Drosophila melanogaster: one gene and its partners. The gene in region 1 interacts genetically with each later gene. Each region holds a gene or a part of one and is shown in the gene's direction. Other genes may lie near its edges.

Region 1 (5,641 bases):
TAAGTGCTGTAATATACCATTGTCGATCAAGCCTTACAGTGATATATATATTTTTTCAGTATCCTTGCGGACATCGCTGCACAGCCATCTGCCACACAGGCAAGTGCCCAAATCCCGAGTTGTGCCGCAAGAAGGTTCGCATTTTCTGCGCCTGCAAGCGACTCAAGCAGGAGATTGCCTGTGACAAACACCGTGCTGGTCAGACATTCTTGGATTGCGACTCGAACTGCAAGGCGGAGCAAATTCGCGTCCAGGCGGCAGAGCAACTGCAGCTGGAACAAAAGCGTCGCGACGAGGAAGAAAGAAACCGCCTGGAACTCGAGAAGTTCGAGGCCAAGTTCGGCAAACGCAAGCACAAGGAGCGCAAAACTGTGGGTTCTGGACCGGCCAAGACCAAGATCGATTGGCAACGTAGAGCAATCTATGCAGTATCCATTCTAACAGTTGTGGGTGCAATTGTGGTGGCTTTCTACGCGGACAGTTAAACGAGTAACAACAACCGATTCAAACAAGAATTTGTAATATCAATTTAAACAGATAAGCAAATAGAATTAAAACAATGACTGATAAGCATTTCCAGCCAGCGCAGTGTTTGTCTATGTTGAGCTTTTCTAATCAGGCTGGCCAATTACTCCGCCTTGGCCTTCTTCTTGTAGACGCAAGCGGCGGTGAAAACGGAGGCGCTAAGGAACGTCGAAATCAGGAAGTTTGATAGCAACATCCAATCGTGGGACTGGAAGAACACCGTGTAGATTCGAGCTGTAAGGGATACATATATGATGTGTTAATTGATGACATCAAGTGATGGAATGCAAGATGTGATCTCACTCATGTTTGTAAAGGCGGAGAGCGCCCATGTGGTTCTACTGACGGAACTGGCATCCTTGGTCCTCAGAATAGCCAGCAGCTGGAGGACCTTACTCGTGGCTCCAATGGGAGTGCAGAAAGGCTGACGGGAAATCAAACATTTAGATGAATTTCACGAGATTTATATATATTGCCCGAGCACTGAAAGTATTAATAGCCGCTCAAATATTATACAACAAACATCGGTGACCTTGAGCGAAGATGCTGCCCAGTTAAGAGCACCGCCTTTTCAAACTAAAACAAATAACAAATCAAACCAAACCCGTTTGCCCGGAAACATAATTAGTTAATTGGAAAAGAGAGCGGGGAACGGGTTTGAACTGCGCCGAAGTCGTTATCTGGGCAAGAATACCCGACTAATCAGTCACTAGGTGATATCAATACAGGCTTACTCACCACCAGGAACTTAAGGATGATAATGGGAAAGAGCTTCATGTATATGAGAGTGGCCACTATACTATACAGTATGGCCACCACTTGCGTCCTCCTTCCCAGCAGATCCTGGTACTTGAAGGCGTAGTAAATCAGGGCGTACTCCTGCAGCAGCAAAACAGGATACTCCATGTACGAGAGGAAGTCGTAGCCACTGGTGTAGTTGTACGACAACATCACCGTATAACTGAACAGCTCCAGGCACAGTCCCAAAACACTGATGCCTAATTCATAAATCCGTATCATATGAGTGGGAGGATAGGTTGCAGATGTTGTGTGGGCGGTGCTCACCTTTCGAGGACTCGTTCGCCCGTATCGTGTTTATCTGCGGAACCTTGATCACCAGGCAGGACGAGACCGTTATCAGGCTAAGGAGGTCCGCCACCACGAGCACTGGGCCGCGCTCCAGGTATTCGGACACCACATCTCCGAGAGCTCCACTCATAGCGACCGTCGAAATTCGAAATTTGCAGCTTCTGAGTGTGACCTTAACATTGTGTGGACGGAAATGCTAGTGTTACCACACTCTATCACTAGTAAACAAATTAACGATATTTGCTGTAATGGTTTCTAATTATTTTATAACATAGCAATAAATAACAAACTCATGTCATTTTTAGGGTTTTCAAGAAATTTCTATAAGTTATAAAATATAAGTATAAAAATTAAAAACTATGAAAATAGAAACAAGTTTTTTAAACATATAATAATTTTAGTAATTAAGCAATCAAAAATATAATATAAAATATAAGCAATCAAAAAAGAAAAGTAGAATTGCTGAGCAATTAAATTGTGTAAGAAACACGTTTATTATTACAACACATAAATAATTCATGAAATCCATACATATAAACAACTTGCAGAGTATCACATTTTTTAAAACCAAGCTCGAGTCACGCGGAGACCATCACATCCCTAACTTAAGCCGTGAATTCCCATGGTATATTTGAACGGTCGAGCGGTGGTCACACTGGATCCGCATTAGTTTTTTTTCGGGTCCAAAATCTGTCCAAATCCGCAAATTGCACGCATATTCTAGTATCTGAAAACCAGAAATTTAGATAGACTGGGTACAGAGTCATCTGAAAAACGCAAAAATTAGGCAATCTCCGAGGAGCAACGTCCTTAAAACGTATGTGAAAAATTCGATTGAACGTGTGTGTGCTGTGTTGCGCCTGTATGTGTGAGAGTGGGCCCCAAACGCAAAAAGTTTTACACGCGTTAAATGTGCAGTTGAAAACCTGAAAACAAATTGTGCCCGCTAAAGTGGGGTGTGTTTTTTTAGTGCCCCCTCCACGTTGGCTGCCCTTAAAGTTTATAAACAATGTGCAAGGCACCACGCGAACTCAAACTTTAGCTGCGAGCGAGCGAGCGAGTGGGTTCGTCTGTGTGCGTGACTCTGCCTGTGTGTACAACAATGTCCACATTTTTCTTTTGTTGTTTGCTCCACGAATTATGGGGCTATCCCCTCCGTGTTCCAACCGCTGCATTTGCAGGTGCAGAAAAGTGGGGTTAGGATGGTCAAAGAGTCCGTAAGGAACGCTCAGCGTGCTGCAATCGCTGCTCTGAATTTGCAACGAAAGTAATCTATTTTTGGGGGATTTGGGACCACAGGTCTCTGCCCATTATCCGCGTTGGTGTGCGTCTGTGTGTATGCAGCGATTATGACGACTCCACACCCGTGGCTAAATCCACAGAGAGAAAATGTTCTCGAGCGCATCCCCGATGTTCGACCAAAGTGTCCTGTGTGGCACAGGTAAAAACGCGTATCGAAATGCGGTGTGAAAGCGGAGACCCTAAAAACATATTTTACGTTTTTTCGGGAGGTCAACAGCCAAAGGCCACGAGCCAGGGGTGGGGAAGGAGGAGGAGGAGGAGAAGCAGTAGAAGGAGGGTGGGAAGAGAATGAATACGAATATGGGAAAATGTTCGGGAGAAATGCCTGCACATCTGATCTGTTTCGGCAGTGATGCAACAGCAGGAGCGCTGAAAATTCCTTTGTGATCTCGCCCCTTTTGTTCTGCGGATGCTGCGCTGCAATGGCTGATCTTTGCTTCTTCTCCTTCTCCTTGGTTTTCTTGTCCCCTCCCCTGGATCTTCCAATCTCTGCCTACGGCGATCCCTTTTTCTACTCTCTCGGGTGCGTGTGTGTGTCTGTGCGCTGGTAGGATGTGATGGCCAGTCAAGCTGCTGTCAAACATCAGAGATGCGCAGCTGCGATTTTTCAGTCACGGTGAATGGAAGCTGGCTAGGATCAATGAATTTCTAGAGAATAGGGACTACTATCATACAATTTACAAACATCTTAGCCCTAATAATTAATGATTTCTTTCCGTTCTCCAGGAAAAGAAAGTCAGTTTGCACAAATAATTTGTTTTACAGAATGACTAATATCTTGTTATTTGGAATTTCGGTTTCGACTAAATGTTTGCGATTTTATATAGCCCATGTAAAAAACTCACGTTTTAATGTAACTTTTTAAAATGGATGACTAATACGTATGTATTTTGGAAAGTCAACAACTCTGTGACTCAGCATATTGGCAGAAGTAATCTTAGCTTGGGCTTGGCTCAGCTCTAGTCAGCAAGAAATGTTTCGTGACTATAGATTTCACAGTTCTATTAGTAACAACCAACGCAGTTTATTAAAACGATTTACTAATGTACATTTTAACTTTAGTTGGGTGTCGAAACTATTTGAATATGGTCATACACTTCTTTAGTATAAAAATTATTTGGAAGGCTTTTCCTATTAGTTCGGTGACTGTTTCCCGATCACCAGTGACTTTCCCGCGTTGATCATCTCTGAAAGTCAGTAAAAAGCGGAGGGAAAAGATAGCGGCTTGAATTGCAAGGTGTACGTGGTGTTGTTGTTATTGTTGTTCTTGTTTGGTGCTGCGGCTGCTGTGTATCTTTGGTGCTTCTTCTTCTCACGTCCGTTACTTCTCGCTCTTCACTCTCTTTACAATACCTTTTGCTGTTGTCTCTCTTTTTAGGGTATGTGTGTGTGTCTGTTTGTGGTGTTTTTGTTGTAATACCCGTTTCGTCTTCTTTTGCCCATTCTACTTCGCGCCGTTTTAGCCTCTTCCTCGATGCACTTTTGTGATTTCCTTTTTCGAGTTCCAACGACGCCGGCAGAGGCAGCGTCGTTACAACAAATTTTTCCCACTGCTTTTCATTCCCTTGGATTTAATTTTTTTTTGCAACCATCAGTTTGCGCTTGTTGCGTGGGAATTTCGGATCATCTTGGATTCTCAGGGCACAAAAGGATCGTTCATTGTAAGCGGTGTAAAATTTGTCATACCTTGGGTTTGAAATTTTCATAGCGTCTATTTTCAACACTATTATTCACTTTTCCATAAGTGCTTCCTCGTGTTACCAGCTTCCAACCATTCGATAACCAATCTTTAACATTTGCAGGAGAACGCATTACCCACTTTTGAATGCCTGTAAAGTATTATGGAAAGAGGATGCCCAGCTGCTAGCAGTGAATCCGTGACCAGTGCAGGGGAGCGTACTCAGTCAGCAGTCACCAGCTCCACCTCCACGTGGGTCAAGAGTCAGGCCTCAACCAGCCGAAAAACAGAAGCATCAGAAGAATCGGGATTAGGAGCAGTAGACGCAGAAGTAGGAGCCGGCAGAGAAGCCTTTGTATCTATGTCAACGCTGCGGGAGGATGTGGAGGACGTGTGTGTGTCGTCAAACTCACAACATGGTTTCGCCGTAGTTTTGGACGACGAGTCCAGCACATTTGAGATTAGCTCTTCCAACTCACTGCCCACCAGTGCGGGGGCGGCGTCCACAGTGGGAGTGGTGGCCGTCGACGACAGCTCCTCCACGGATACCTTGAACGGTGGTCATCCTGACTTAGGTCACCCCGCCTCATCGGAACACAGTCGTCAGGGCTTTTTTAATGAGGATAATGAAGATCCTCCGGTTGTATGCCTTATAAACGACGATGACGATGATGAGGAACCCGAGCCGGAGGAGGACGATGAGGAGGAACTGATTGAAGACGAGGACGAGGACGCAGTGGACATTGTAACGGGCGCCATCAGCTGCCCCAACACATCACAGTTGGCTTTAGCCGACGGCACCATCATGGCGGCCGATGGATCTAAGATCTTCCTGGAGACGCCCGTCGTGGAGGAGGCCCAGCCGCATCCCGGTCAGGTAGTCACAACGGGATCCCAGTCGGAGCTCACAGGCAAGCCAAAAAGATTGAGCGATGAGTTCTTGCTGGGTGAGGAAGACCAAGCAGAGAACCTGGCTTTGGGAAGATGTATTAAGTCTGAGCCGGTTAATCCCGTGGACGACAATCCATCTGAAGGCGACGATGGGGC
Region 2 (5,101 bases), on another chromosome or scaffold:
ACCATATTCAATATATTTGTCTATTAATTTTCTTTCTCTGTATGAAATTGAACTTGATGCAGCGAGAGAGACGTATATAAGCGGAGTGAGGGAGACAGCGTGAAGGTAGCGCAGCTTCCGAATCTTTTTCGTTTGTTCAGTTGCGTGTGAGGTCTATATGCATCGCATTCGGTGTAAGTTATGATTCGGCAATTGCTGGCAGGGAAAGTTTAAATTTATATTTAAGGCGATAAATTGGAATCAGTCGCTGAAAATTCCCCACAGGTTTTGTGAAATGAGCAAAAATTTCGGATTAAGATTATTGCGAAACCTGTTTGGAAGTCATTTTTTTGCTAACAACATTAACAAGAACAAAGGAACTTCTTTCTTGGGAATGGATAAGATCTTTACGATGTTCTGTTGTAAACAGCTATTCCTTTGGATTAAGTATTAACCACTGGTCTTGCCACAACTCAATGAACTTCTTACGACATCTTTCGAATTAATTGGTCGTCGTCGGGTGTTACTGTAGCAACCTAAAGGATTGACAGACCTTCTATAAGATAGTCCTTGAATGATGCAAGATGAGACCATAGCTAACGATCACAAGGACTCCTGGCAATCTGCAAAAAGAGAAGCCCAAGAAGCTCACAATGTTAATAACTACTTTTACTGTTTTTTTATATGAAATACATTTAAACATCGAAATAGTTTAGTGATAGACGGGTGTAGCATAAACAGGTAAACAAGGGGTTATCGTAGTGATTTAAGTTGACCCTGCCTGTTCCTTTGCCTTCTCCACGAGCTGATTACATTGCGATTTGATTACGTTTGCTTGGTCTGGGGAACTAGCTTCCCTTATCTCGTTTCACTTTCCGTGCTGTTTGCCAAACTAATCCAAATATTTAACTCCTATGTTATAGTTCTTATCGGCCGACTAGGGAAATCATGGATAAGTCTGATAGTATTTAGTCATCCAAGCAGCTTTTCTCGCACAGTGAAAAAGATCAATTCTCTAATATTTCTTCTCATTTTGTGTGTGCGAATTTTGGTTAGTTTTCGAAATACCTAAAAATGGTTCATCAGTTCTGCGGTTAAATACTCAAAATTTTGGAATATTATATCAAATTTTCACTTCGAAGTGAGTGGCACTGTTTTCTCGGTGCAGAGATTCTAAAATTATAACATGACTTTGCCGTGCACTGCACTTTGTGAGCGAGGGAAATGGGCGGAAAATGGGTCCTGGACGTGCGGAAATTTTCCGGCGTCGCTGCAAAGTAGACTATATGGTCCGAGCCAATTATCGACTGAAGTGGGGCGCACTGACATAATTTATATGGCTCTAATTTGAATCCGCCACTCACTCGATTCGCTGTTATCGTCCCATTGGGCAGAACCGAAGCGCTGGCTCCCTGCCACCTGAATGCTTCTACGAGGCGGGCGGACCGGACTTTATCTTATCACTCCGGCCGGAGCGCACTTGTCCGGATAGGCAAACTTGTCTGATAGCACACGGAATATGACGTTCACGTCGGCTCTCCGCTCTTTTGCGATTTTTTTTGGTGCGGCTGCCCAGGTATAAATATGATGGCTTCGAGGCTATGGAACCTTTCGCTCATTTAGCGCTCGAACTCCCGTACGTCGTGTTCTACCAAAATATCCGGAGCAGTGAAGTTGTGGCCAAATCAAAACACTATCAGCTCTTATCGCACGCGTGTGTGTGTTCATCATCGATGGGCTTAGCCGGATTCCAGCGCACTCAATGTTTAATTCCTTCGAGAGCTGCGATTTTTCGTGTACCGGCGACATTTCGTTCTACGGCGAAGATGTGATCCCCGGTTCTAGTTTCTACGAGTGCGATTCCAAGCCGCAGCGGCAGCGGCAGCTGAGCAGAAATGGCCCAGCTTTTGGGCCAATGCCCATCAATGAACCCACTGTGAACTTTGGCAACGGGTCATTCTACAATGGCCCTGCTCCCGGAAGCCAACCCTTCGTGGGCGCTATGCTCGGCCCCAATATGTCCTCCACTGGGATGCAAAGGTACCATCCGTACCATCAGCAGCAGCCCCAGGACGCCTTCTATCGCCAGAGGGGATCGCTTCTGAACGTGGCCACGCCCTGTCGCGAAAGCCGCCCCTGGAGCTACGCCTACTGCTATGGCTACGCGCCCACGAACACTCAACCTTGCCAGTTCTCCCAGTTTGTCGACATCGAGGATTTCATGTGAGTGACGACCAAAGTGGTTGGTCAATTTGTTGTTTTGGGTAATTCTGTGATTTTGCGTTTTTCACGAAGGGTATTCCTTAATCTCATTATCAAATAGTATTCAAGTACGAATATTTACACAATTTTGCTTAATAATTGTTGTTACATAACTGTGGAGAGCTCTAGCTCATTCAAGTAAACAAAACAAAAACCAGTTAGAATCGGTGGCCGAATGCCGCTAGCGATTTACATTTTCCTGGAGGCACCTGAACGAGCTGAGCTCCTAGAAAATTGGCCGTGTTCCATTGTAAAACCCGAGCCGAAAGCAAACGGCGCTGCACTTATCTATGCTTATTTGTGAATCGCTTTTATAATAATATTTAGATACGCAGCAAAAGATAGGGCGAGGGGGACGGAACTATGGCGCGAGAGAGGTGTCGTATGAGTCAAGGTTCGGTGGGTTATTCCCAAGAGAGGTACCGTTTATAAGATTGTGGGCTGGAAAAGACTTTTTCTCTCACTTCGATTGTTGCGTGGAAATAGTAAATTGCTTGTCAGTTGTGCTGTTGTGTAATTGTTATCTGCCGCCGATGATTTTATGTGGGGTATTTCCCAAGGAGTTATCGTTAGGGGTCTGCTGAAGGTTTCACAATCCATCTGGTTGATGTATACGATTATCTGGCGATTGACGCAGATTACAGCCCCTTTCCCTGGACTTCACCTCCTTGAAAACTTTGCATGCAACGTGCGCAGCAAGCAAATGTTTTCGTAATGGTAGTCGGATTTGGTTTATTTACGTTTTGCACACGTTTAAGCCAAATTCGGCTGGCCCATCTCCATGCTAATGAGCCGAAACCAAACTGACGCAATTGCAGGACGGCGCTGCCCGAAGAACTCCACCCACAATATGGTGCTCCCAAGAAGAGACCAAACATCCCTGACCCGCTGTTGCGCCTCGATTTACTGTCCCATGAACTTGGCATTAGCACTTCGAGTCGTATTTTATGTGTTTTCGCTGATATCTCGCCCGGAGATACGGCGCACTTGGAGGTAGCTTGGCCAACATTTCGCAATGCTCGCAATTCAAACTCAAACAACAGCGGGTCAGTATCCTAAGGTGTTGTCGGATAAGCCAGCAGGACTTAGATGGCCACGTGCGGCGATCGTGGTGTTTGCATATTCAAACTCATTTCATACACAAAGTGCGGAAAATGGTATCTTAAGATCAGCATACTACATCATTATAATCATCATACGGAAGGGTAGTACACATATTAAGGTGTGCTTTCAATATTATAGCTTAATTTTGTTCAGTGTTTTGAGCTGCTTTGGAGCGGAAATACTTAGCAACAACAACAGCAGCAGCACCAGCGGCAATAACAAGGCAATTCTGCTGGCGCAGGCAGAATATTTAACATGCCGTACTTGCCTCTGTTCTAATGAACAGACAATGGGGCCGATCGAAAATATATATATGTATGTGCATACCTCCCAAACCAAAACCCCACCCCCCCGGCGAATATCCCACCATTTAAGCAGGCCATTAGCATGCAATTCAAAGTCACTCTCCGCCGCTTTCTATGGGCCACGAGCTAGCAACTATCGGATTTGTGTTTATTAATGCATATATAATATATATAGAAATCCACGGGTCTACGCCTATATTAGTATTCACTTTGCTGGCGAAGTAATATAATACTATATAATAATTATTTGAGCAGCCATTCGAGTTTCGCTTCAAACTTTGGTTTCCATCCATCAGTTGGTTGATTGACAATGAAAAGCCCTCTTATCTAAACTGGTTTCTGTTTTATTTATTTTTGATTTATTTGAATGCATTGTTTCTTCACTTTCACAGAGTTTCCTAATCAACGTTTTATCTGGGCGTTCAGAATACTCTTTTAATAATAGAAATTCTTTCGAGTGCAAAGTCAAGTTTAGCATTTGTTTATGTTAAGATTTCCTCTGTTTACAATCGATCGATTAGTGGGGTCCTATCTCATATTTAAATATGTCATAATAGAAGATTATGTTCAACAACTAAGTAGTTTGCTTCGATTTATTCAATTTATTTACTTACAGTAAAAGAAAACGGGAATACTGTTTTTAATAGATACTTAAGCCATTATTAGACAGGCGGCAGACTGACAATAGATCATATTGTACTGTGACTTTGTCGGCTGATATGATGGACTTTTGATGATTGCGACTCCTCCGTTGACAGGCGGTACTTAGGGTTTGTTAACAAAAAAGTTTGATATTTTCGCGTTGTTACCGGGCAGATTTTCCCAAGTGAACCACCTGACGTGTTCAGGTCTTTTTTCATCCCAGCGGATCAATAAAGCAGCGTTGGCAAATTTTGAACAAAATGCCAGGAAATAAATGTACATACGTGCTGAAATGGGCGTCACCCGTGGATTATACAAGTTCGCCCACTATATCGATAATAAAGAAAATATTAAGAGCCACGAGTTATGTTCTTGCATGCGGCTACTCAAGAGATTTTCTTGGCAGACTACAGTTTTTCCGCAGTCCCGCGGGAGGGCCATCCGTCTTTTCTTAGAATTTCCCGCAATATACTCGTATTGGCATAAAGATAGTGTCAGTCGTGTGTGTGAGGTCAGTGCTCTGTCGTCCTACAAGTGTGTACGATCGATTTGCCTGCTTGGTTGCCGATTAAAACACGTCGCCAATGTAGACGAGTCGATACCCAGGGTTTAAATGGGACTTACTCATCCAGCGAAGACAACTAACTCTGCAGAGTCGCTAATTGCCAAATCATCGGTGTTTTGTCAATCCCCTGGCGAAATATTCCAAAAGACCACCACCACGAAAATTGGTGCCAAGGCAACTTAGCCACTTTTTATCAGTGGAACGTGTGACTGCCGGCTATTCTCGGAATCCGAAACAGACGTTA
Region 3 (5,113 bases), on another chromosome or scaffold:
CCGGGCTTACACTCCTCGTCCGTAAAAGATGACGCCATCGCGGAGGGAGAATGAGCAGGAGCAGAAGCAGGACCCGGTCACAATGGAACTGAAGGAGCGGGGGCCTTGCAATTGCGTAGTGCTCAAAATCAAATCGCAATCAATTCCCCCGAAAGAGCACCACACACACGCACACTGAGACACTGGCGAAGTGTTCCAAGCGTAACTATTTGTTTGTAATGAATGAGCCAAGTTGAGCGCGCCTCTGCCAGCCCCACCCCACCCCACTTCGCCCCGCCCACAATCTGACTACGTGGGGCTCTCTCTCTCTCTCTCTCTTTCTCTGTGTGTGTGCAAATCTGAAACTACGATCCGCATTGCGATTTTGTTAGTTGTTGTTGTTACTTTACTCTGGCAAACACTTGCGAAAGAGCGTGCGAAAGGAAGCGGCGATAAATAGGGGGAGCGAATAGGCAGCGGAATAGGCGACACAAAAACCACTGTGCCAAAATCAGCTGGTCGAACAGTGTTGCCAATTTGGCCGCCAAAAGATAATTCATTTAGCTTTCTACCACTGAGCGTTCGATAACACATGGGGTCAAGTTTTTAGCATTCAAATTATAGACTTCAAATCGATTTAAATGTCTATCATCTTATTTACACTCACCTTGAGTATATCCATCGTCGGTGAGTCGCAGGGCGCCGCTCTTGCTCATGCTCTCGTAGTTGGGCTTGATGATTCGCAGATCCTGATGGAATAGTCCGTACATGGCGCCATGTTCCGCATGCTCCTCGTAGGTGAACAGGGTCTGCACATCCTTGACCAAAGATCGCTGGACGGTGCTGTACCAGGACTGGGTGAGTCTGCGTGGCATGGTGGTCATGGCCTCCCAGTACTGTTCGATGTACGGTATGATCTCCTTGTCCTTGCTAAACTGAATCTGGCGACGTCCGTCCCTGGAAGCCGCCTGCTGCATGTTGGCAATGGCACAGTGGCACATCTGGGATATGGCTGGAAGTGGATATTGTTATTATCAAGAGGGATAAATGTGCGGGGCTTCTTTGCACTTACTAGCCTGGCTCTTGCGAAAGCTCTCCAATCCGCTGGCAGAGCAATTTTTACAGACGAACACATAGTTGGTGATGAAGGGCAGAAGTTTACCCTTACCAAGCTGGTAGGAAACGCAGGTCTCGTGCACCCAGCGTGAACAGGTGGCACACAGCAGCTCCACAATATTGAGATTGCGCTCCTTGCCGCTAAAAACAATGTCAATAGAAGGGAGCCGGCCAAGCAAAAAACCCATACAAAGAGCTCACCAGTAACAAACGCCGGCTGCGGAACGCGTTTCCTGCGATTTATCCTCCTCCGCAGTGAAGTTCACCTCGGAGCTGGACTCTGTCGGCGAGCTTGTGTCCATTTGGCTGTCCTCCATTGCAGTGATAAAGGTTTTCAGTCAACAATTAGCATGTAAACAAATATTAGCGGCCCGCAAGAAATTCGGTGGCTGGCCAGAGTGACCGTTGGCGGGCAAACACATGGTGCGTTTGCAAATACCAGAACGTCGCCAAAGAGCGATAAACGATAGACGACAACATTTAGAGCACACAGCCTGACAACCCTGCCCCTGCCTCTTCGCTCCAACTCTGGCTCTTGCTTCGATTGTAATTGTATATATATATATCCCTACCATATATATATGTCCGAGTGTAGAATTATCATTTTTTTGTTGCCGAAAAACAGTGTTCCGTGTTGAGAGGCGAGGGCGCCATCCTAAATGGCATTGCACGACCGCCGGGAGCGAGCCGAGCGACCAACGAATAGCAAGAAGAGCAAGTGCCCGCAACTCAGACCGTGACTCCGCCAGCGTATCCCAGACTCCGACTACTCTCCATAGACGGCCAGGAGTCGTCGCCGCTGGCAAGGCGGCCCTAACCCCTGGAAGCTACCGATTCGGTGTGCAGCTAGTGGAGCACCATGTGCGAGGTGTGCGCCGACTTCCAGAATCTCCTGGAGCTCTGTAAGTGAAAAGTGCACTGCGAAAAAAAAATAGAATGAAGACGAACACCGGAGCCCCTGCCCCCTGCTTACACATAGTATTCCGAATTCCTTTTGCAGATGAGGTGCGCGTGGCCAGCTCGGATCTGAAGTTCCAGCTGCTGCTGAAGAGCGAGATCGAGACCACCTTCAACTACATCCAGTCGTGGCCGCAGCGTCAGTGCATGTGCCTGTACCGGGACACCAAGAACTATGACCGTTTCAACCTGGTAGTGCAGTCGCTCATCTGTCTGACGGTGCAGCATCTGAAGCACATCGACCACCTCATCGACAACTACAAGCGGCTAACGGCCAGTGCTGCCCAGGTGGTGGCCCAGGCCCAGCAGCAGCGTGAACAGCAGCGGGACGAAGCGTCAGCCCAGGCAGAGGCAAAGGAATCATCCGCGCCAGCGGAAGAACCTAAGAAGGAGGAGCCATCTGGGTCCGCCGGTGAGGAGGCTCAGGGCTCCGGCGACGGGCCAGCCAAAAAGCCGCCAGTTGGCCCCTGCACTCCCCCTCCCCCGCAAACGGCCAATCCTCAGCACAAATCCCACCTGCAGTACACAGAGGAGCCCTGGATCCTGCCCGAGGTGGAGAAACTGTTGGTGCTCGTTTCAAAGGTGTTCCTGCTCAACTTCCCGCTGTACATCGCCCACAAACATGGCATGCACTCTCGGCTGGACGACCTGCAGGCTGAGGAGGCCCACCACCTGGCCCTCATCTGCGATCTTCACGACAACGACCTGCCCATCTATCTGCTGCGGAATGTGAGCCTGTTCTGCAACTCGGGCGGCTTTGGCGCCATGTCGCTGTGCTTCGAACATCCCGATCTGCCAGTGTCCACCGCTCACTCGATGACCGCTGCCGTCTCAAATGTGAAACTTTGGCTGAACTATCACTGTAATACTCAGCTCTTCGTGCCGCTGCGAAGTCGGATACTGCAGTACATGTGCAAGCTGTCGGATCAGAGCCTCCGATCTGCCGCAACCCGCGCGATGGCCGATTTTGTGTGGTCCTCTATGCGAGACCCACTGGATGTTGCTGTCAACTTCGACACCGAAGGATTGGCCCTGGCCTTTAAGTACTTCACATCGACCACGCTAACCATGCGACTGGCAGGTATGTCCTACGATGTTGACATACTTAATTAGGACATTTCGAATAATGCTGAAATATTATATTTATTTATCAATAAATATTATATAATAAGAGTAAATGATTTCAAATATTTTCCAGGCATGGCCCAGATCAACGCACACATTAATCTATTTAACGAGATCTGCACCACCGAAACGGTCAACGAAGTGGAGCTGTTCGGGCAGCGCATCGCGAACTGGCTGACTGAAAATCATATTGTACAGCACCTGTTTGGCCCGAATCTGCACGTAGAAATCGTTAAACAGGCACACGTGCTGCTCAACTTTTTGGCGGTAGAGAACCAGATCTCTGAAGAGGACATCAAGCTGATCTGGCAAGCCACCCAGCTGAAGCACTGCTCAAAGACGATCTTCGACATCCTGCCTTCGCTGGTGAAGAATCTGACCCCGCGCCCGGCAATGCACCTTTACTCCCTCCTTTGCCGCATGGATCCCAAGGAGCACACTGAGCAGAGCATATACATAGCCTCAGCGCTAACAAAACAGCTGTGGACTCGTGATACCTCACGCAGTCAGATGAACCTGATGCAAGACCACCTGCTGGGGTCCAACGTCACCGCTTCCAGCTCTGACAGCGGCAGCATTGAGGGCAGCAACACAGAGGACGACCACGTGGGCGCCGACGACAGTAGCATTGCCAGCGGTGGCGGCGGCGGAGGTGTTGGTAACAAGAGTCCAATCGATGGAGTTACTCCATGCAAGCAGGCCCGGCACAGGCGGCACATCTGTGACCCCACCACCGAGAAGGGAAAGCAAATAAGTCCCGAGGATATGGCCAAAGTAGACTTGGTGTAAGTAAAATAGTTCTTCTTAAAATCTGAAATGTATTGACGTAATAAGTAACACCTATTTTACCAATTTACGCAGGAACAAACGGATTGTGAACATTATCGACAACACAAGCAGTGAAGAGGAGCTGCAATCGCGGGCCGCACTGGAGCTGCAACTGCATCGCAGCCGCAAAAAGACGAGCAACAAGCGACGGCGACAAAAAACCAACAAACAGATCATTCTGCCCCATGAGCTGGTCGAGATTTGGGACGGAGTTGAAGATGTGCCCAGCAGTGACGAGGCTGATGGCGAAGCCGATGGTGATGGCGAGGGCGAACTTTTAGCGGACAGCGATGAGTGCAGCGATGGTGCTACGAGTCAGCTGGTACCCGACGCCGTGCTAAAGCATCTGCAGGGAGAGGGACCTTTTATCAGGGCCATCGAGACCAATATCAATGAGCTGCTCAGTGGTGCCGAGAACGATGGCAGTTACTCATCCCCGATGAGTAACAAATCTGAAAAGAACCTGGCTGACTTCGATGACGAGGACGTGTCGCCTTGCGAGGAGGAGCTGGCCCAGCTGGTCAGCTCCCGCGCCAATTGTTCGGACGTTCCACCAGCCTTTGCAGCCGCTGCCGCCGCCATGATGGTGGCCCAGTCGGCGATGGCCCTTCAGAAGTCTGGAGAGTCGAATGTGGCTGCTGCTGCCGCTGCTGTGGCCGCTGCTGCAGCGGCTACCGGAACTGCACAGCAAACGCTGGTGGCAATGAACCGGCAGGCCAGCGTTGCTGCAGCTGCCGCCGTGGTTGCTGCGGCCAAGGCAAAATCGGACTCAGATGTCGATCTGATGGATGTGGTTTCCGGCGGAAAGCAGCACCATTCACCAAAGGCGAGCCAGGGCAGCTCTACGTCCGGGAGTACACCGGTGCAGCCCTCGTTCAAGCTAAATGATGTCTGCCAGCCCGGAAACACACTGCTTTGGGATCTGCTTCAAGACGATAAAATTGTAAGTTGTGTTGGATTTTCGTTGTCCTTGAATCCTATGTAACGTTAATTTTATCTTGCAGGGCCAACTAGGCGAGTCTCTGGCTCTAGAGGCGGAGAAAGCTCTGGCCACTCTCCTGTGCTTCAGCATGGACCGCCAACTGCGAACGAAATTCATCGAGGGTTG

Evidence for each region. Genes that interact genetically often act in the same process or in processes that back each other up.
Region 2: of ago (region 1) and sima, changing one suppresses a phenotype caused by changing the other (phenotypic suppression), as found in Drosophila melanogaster (one study listed by BioGRID).
Region 3: of ago (region 1) and puf, changing one enhances a phenotype caused by changing the other (phenotypic enhancement), as found in Drosophila melanogaster (one study listed by BioGRID).

Annotation. Positions count from the first base shown.
Region 1 is NT_037436.4:4,250,918-4,256,558, reverse strand, and holds the start of ago (archipelago), read left to right. Parts: upstream 1-2,252; 5' UTR 2,253-2,431; intron 2,432-2,506; exon of another isoform or gene 2,507-2,570; intron 2,571-3,481; exon of another isoform or gene 3,482-3,532; intron 3,533-4,507; exon of another isoform or gene 4,508-4,577; intron 4,578-4,718; 5' UTR 4,719-4,757; coding exon 4,758-5,641. Other genes in the region: CG15011 (uncharacterized protein), read left to right, coding at 60-485; CG1265 (uncharacterized protein), read right to left, coding at 629-759, 829-949, 1,264-1,523, 1,591-1,744. UniProt on the Drosophila melanogaster protein: Substrate recognition component of a SCF (SKP1-CUL1-F-box protein) E3 ubiquitin-protein ligase complex which mediates the ubiquitination and subsequent proteasomal degradation of target proteins. Probably recognizes and binds to phosphorylated target proteins.
Region 2 is NT_033777.3:30,061,337-30,066,437, forward strand, and holds the start of sima (uncharacterized protein), read left to right. Parts: upstream 1-1,585; 5' UTR 1,586-1,741; coding exon 1,742-2,202; intron 2,203-5,101. UniProt on the Drosophila melanogaster protein: Functions as a transcriptional regulator of the adaptive response to hypoxia. Binds to core DNA sequence 5'-[AG]CGTG-3' within the hypoxia response element (HRE) of target gene promoters.
Region 3 is NT_033777.3:24,646,528-24,651,640, reverse strand, and holds the start of puf (puffyeye), read left to right. Parts: upstream 1-1,597; 5' UTR 1,598-1,954; coding exon 1,955-1,997; intron 1,998-2,095; coding exon 2,096-3,133; intron 3,134-3,250; coding exon 3,251-3,962; intron 3,963-4,038; coding exon 4,039-4,948; intron 4,949-5,009; coding exon 5,010-5,113. Other genes in the region: ash2 (absent, small, or homeotic discs 2), read right to left, coding at 647-991, 1,052-1,236, 1,297-1,412. UniProt on the Drosophila melanogaster protein: Ubiquitin hydrolase that can remove conjugated ubiquitin from target proteins and polyubiquitin chains. Essential for Myc-mediated cell growth and proliferation in developing eyes and wings.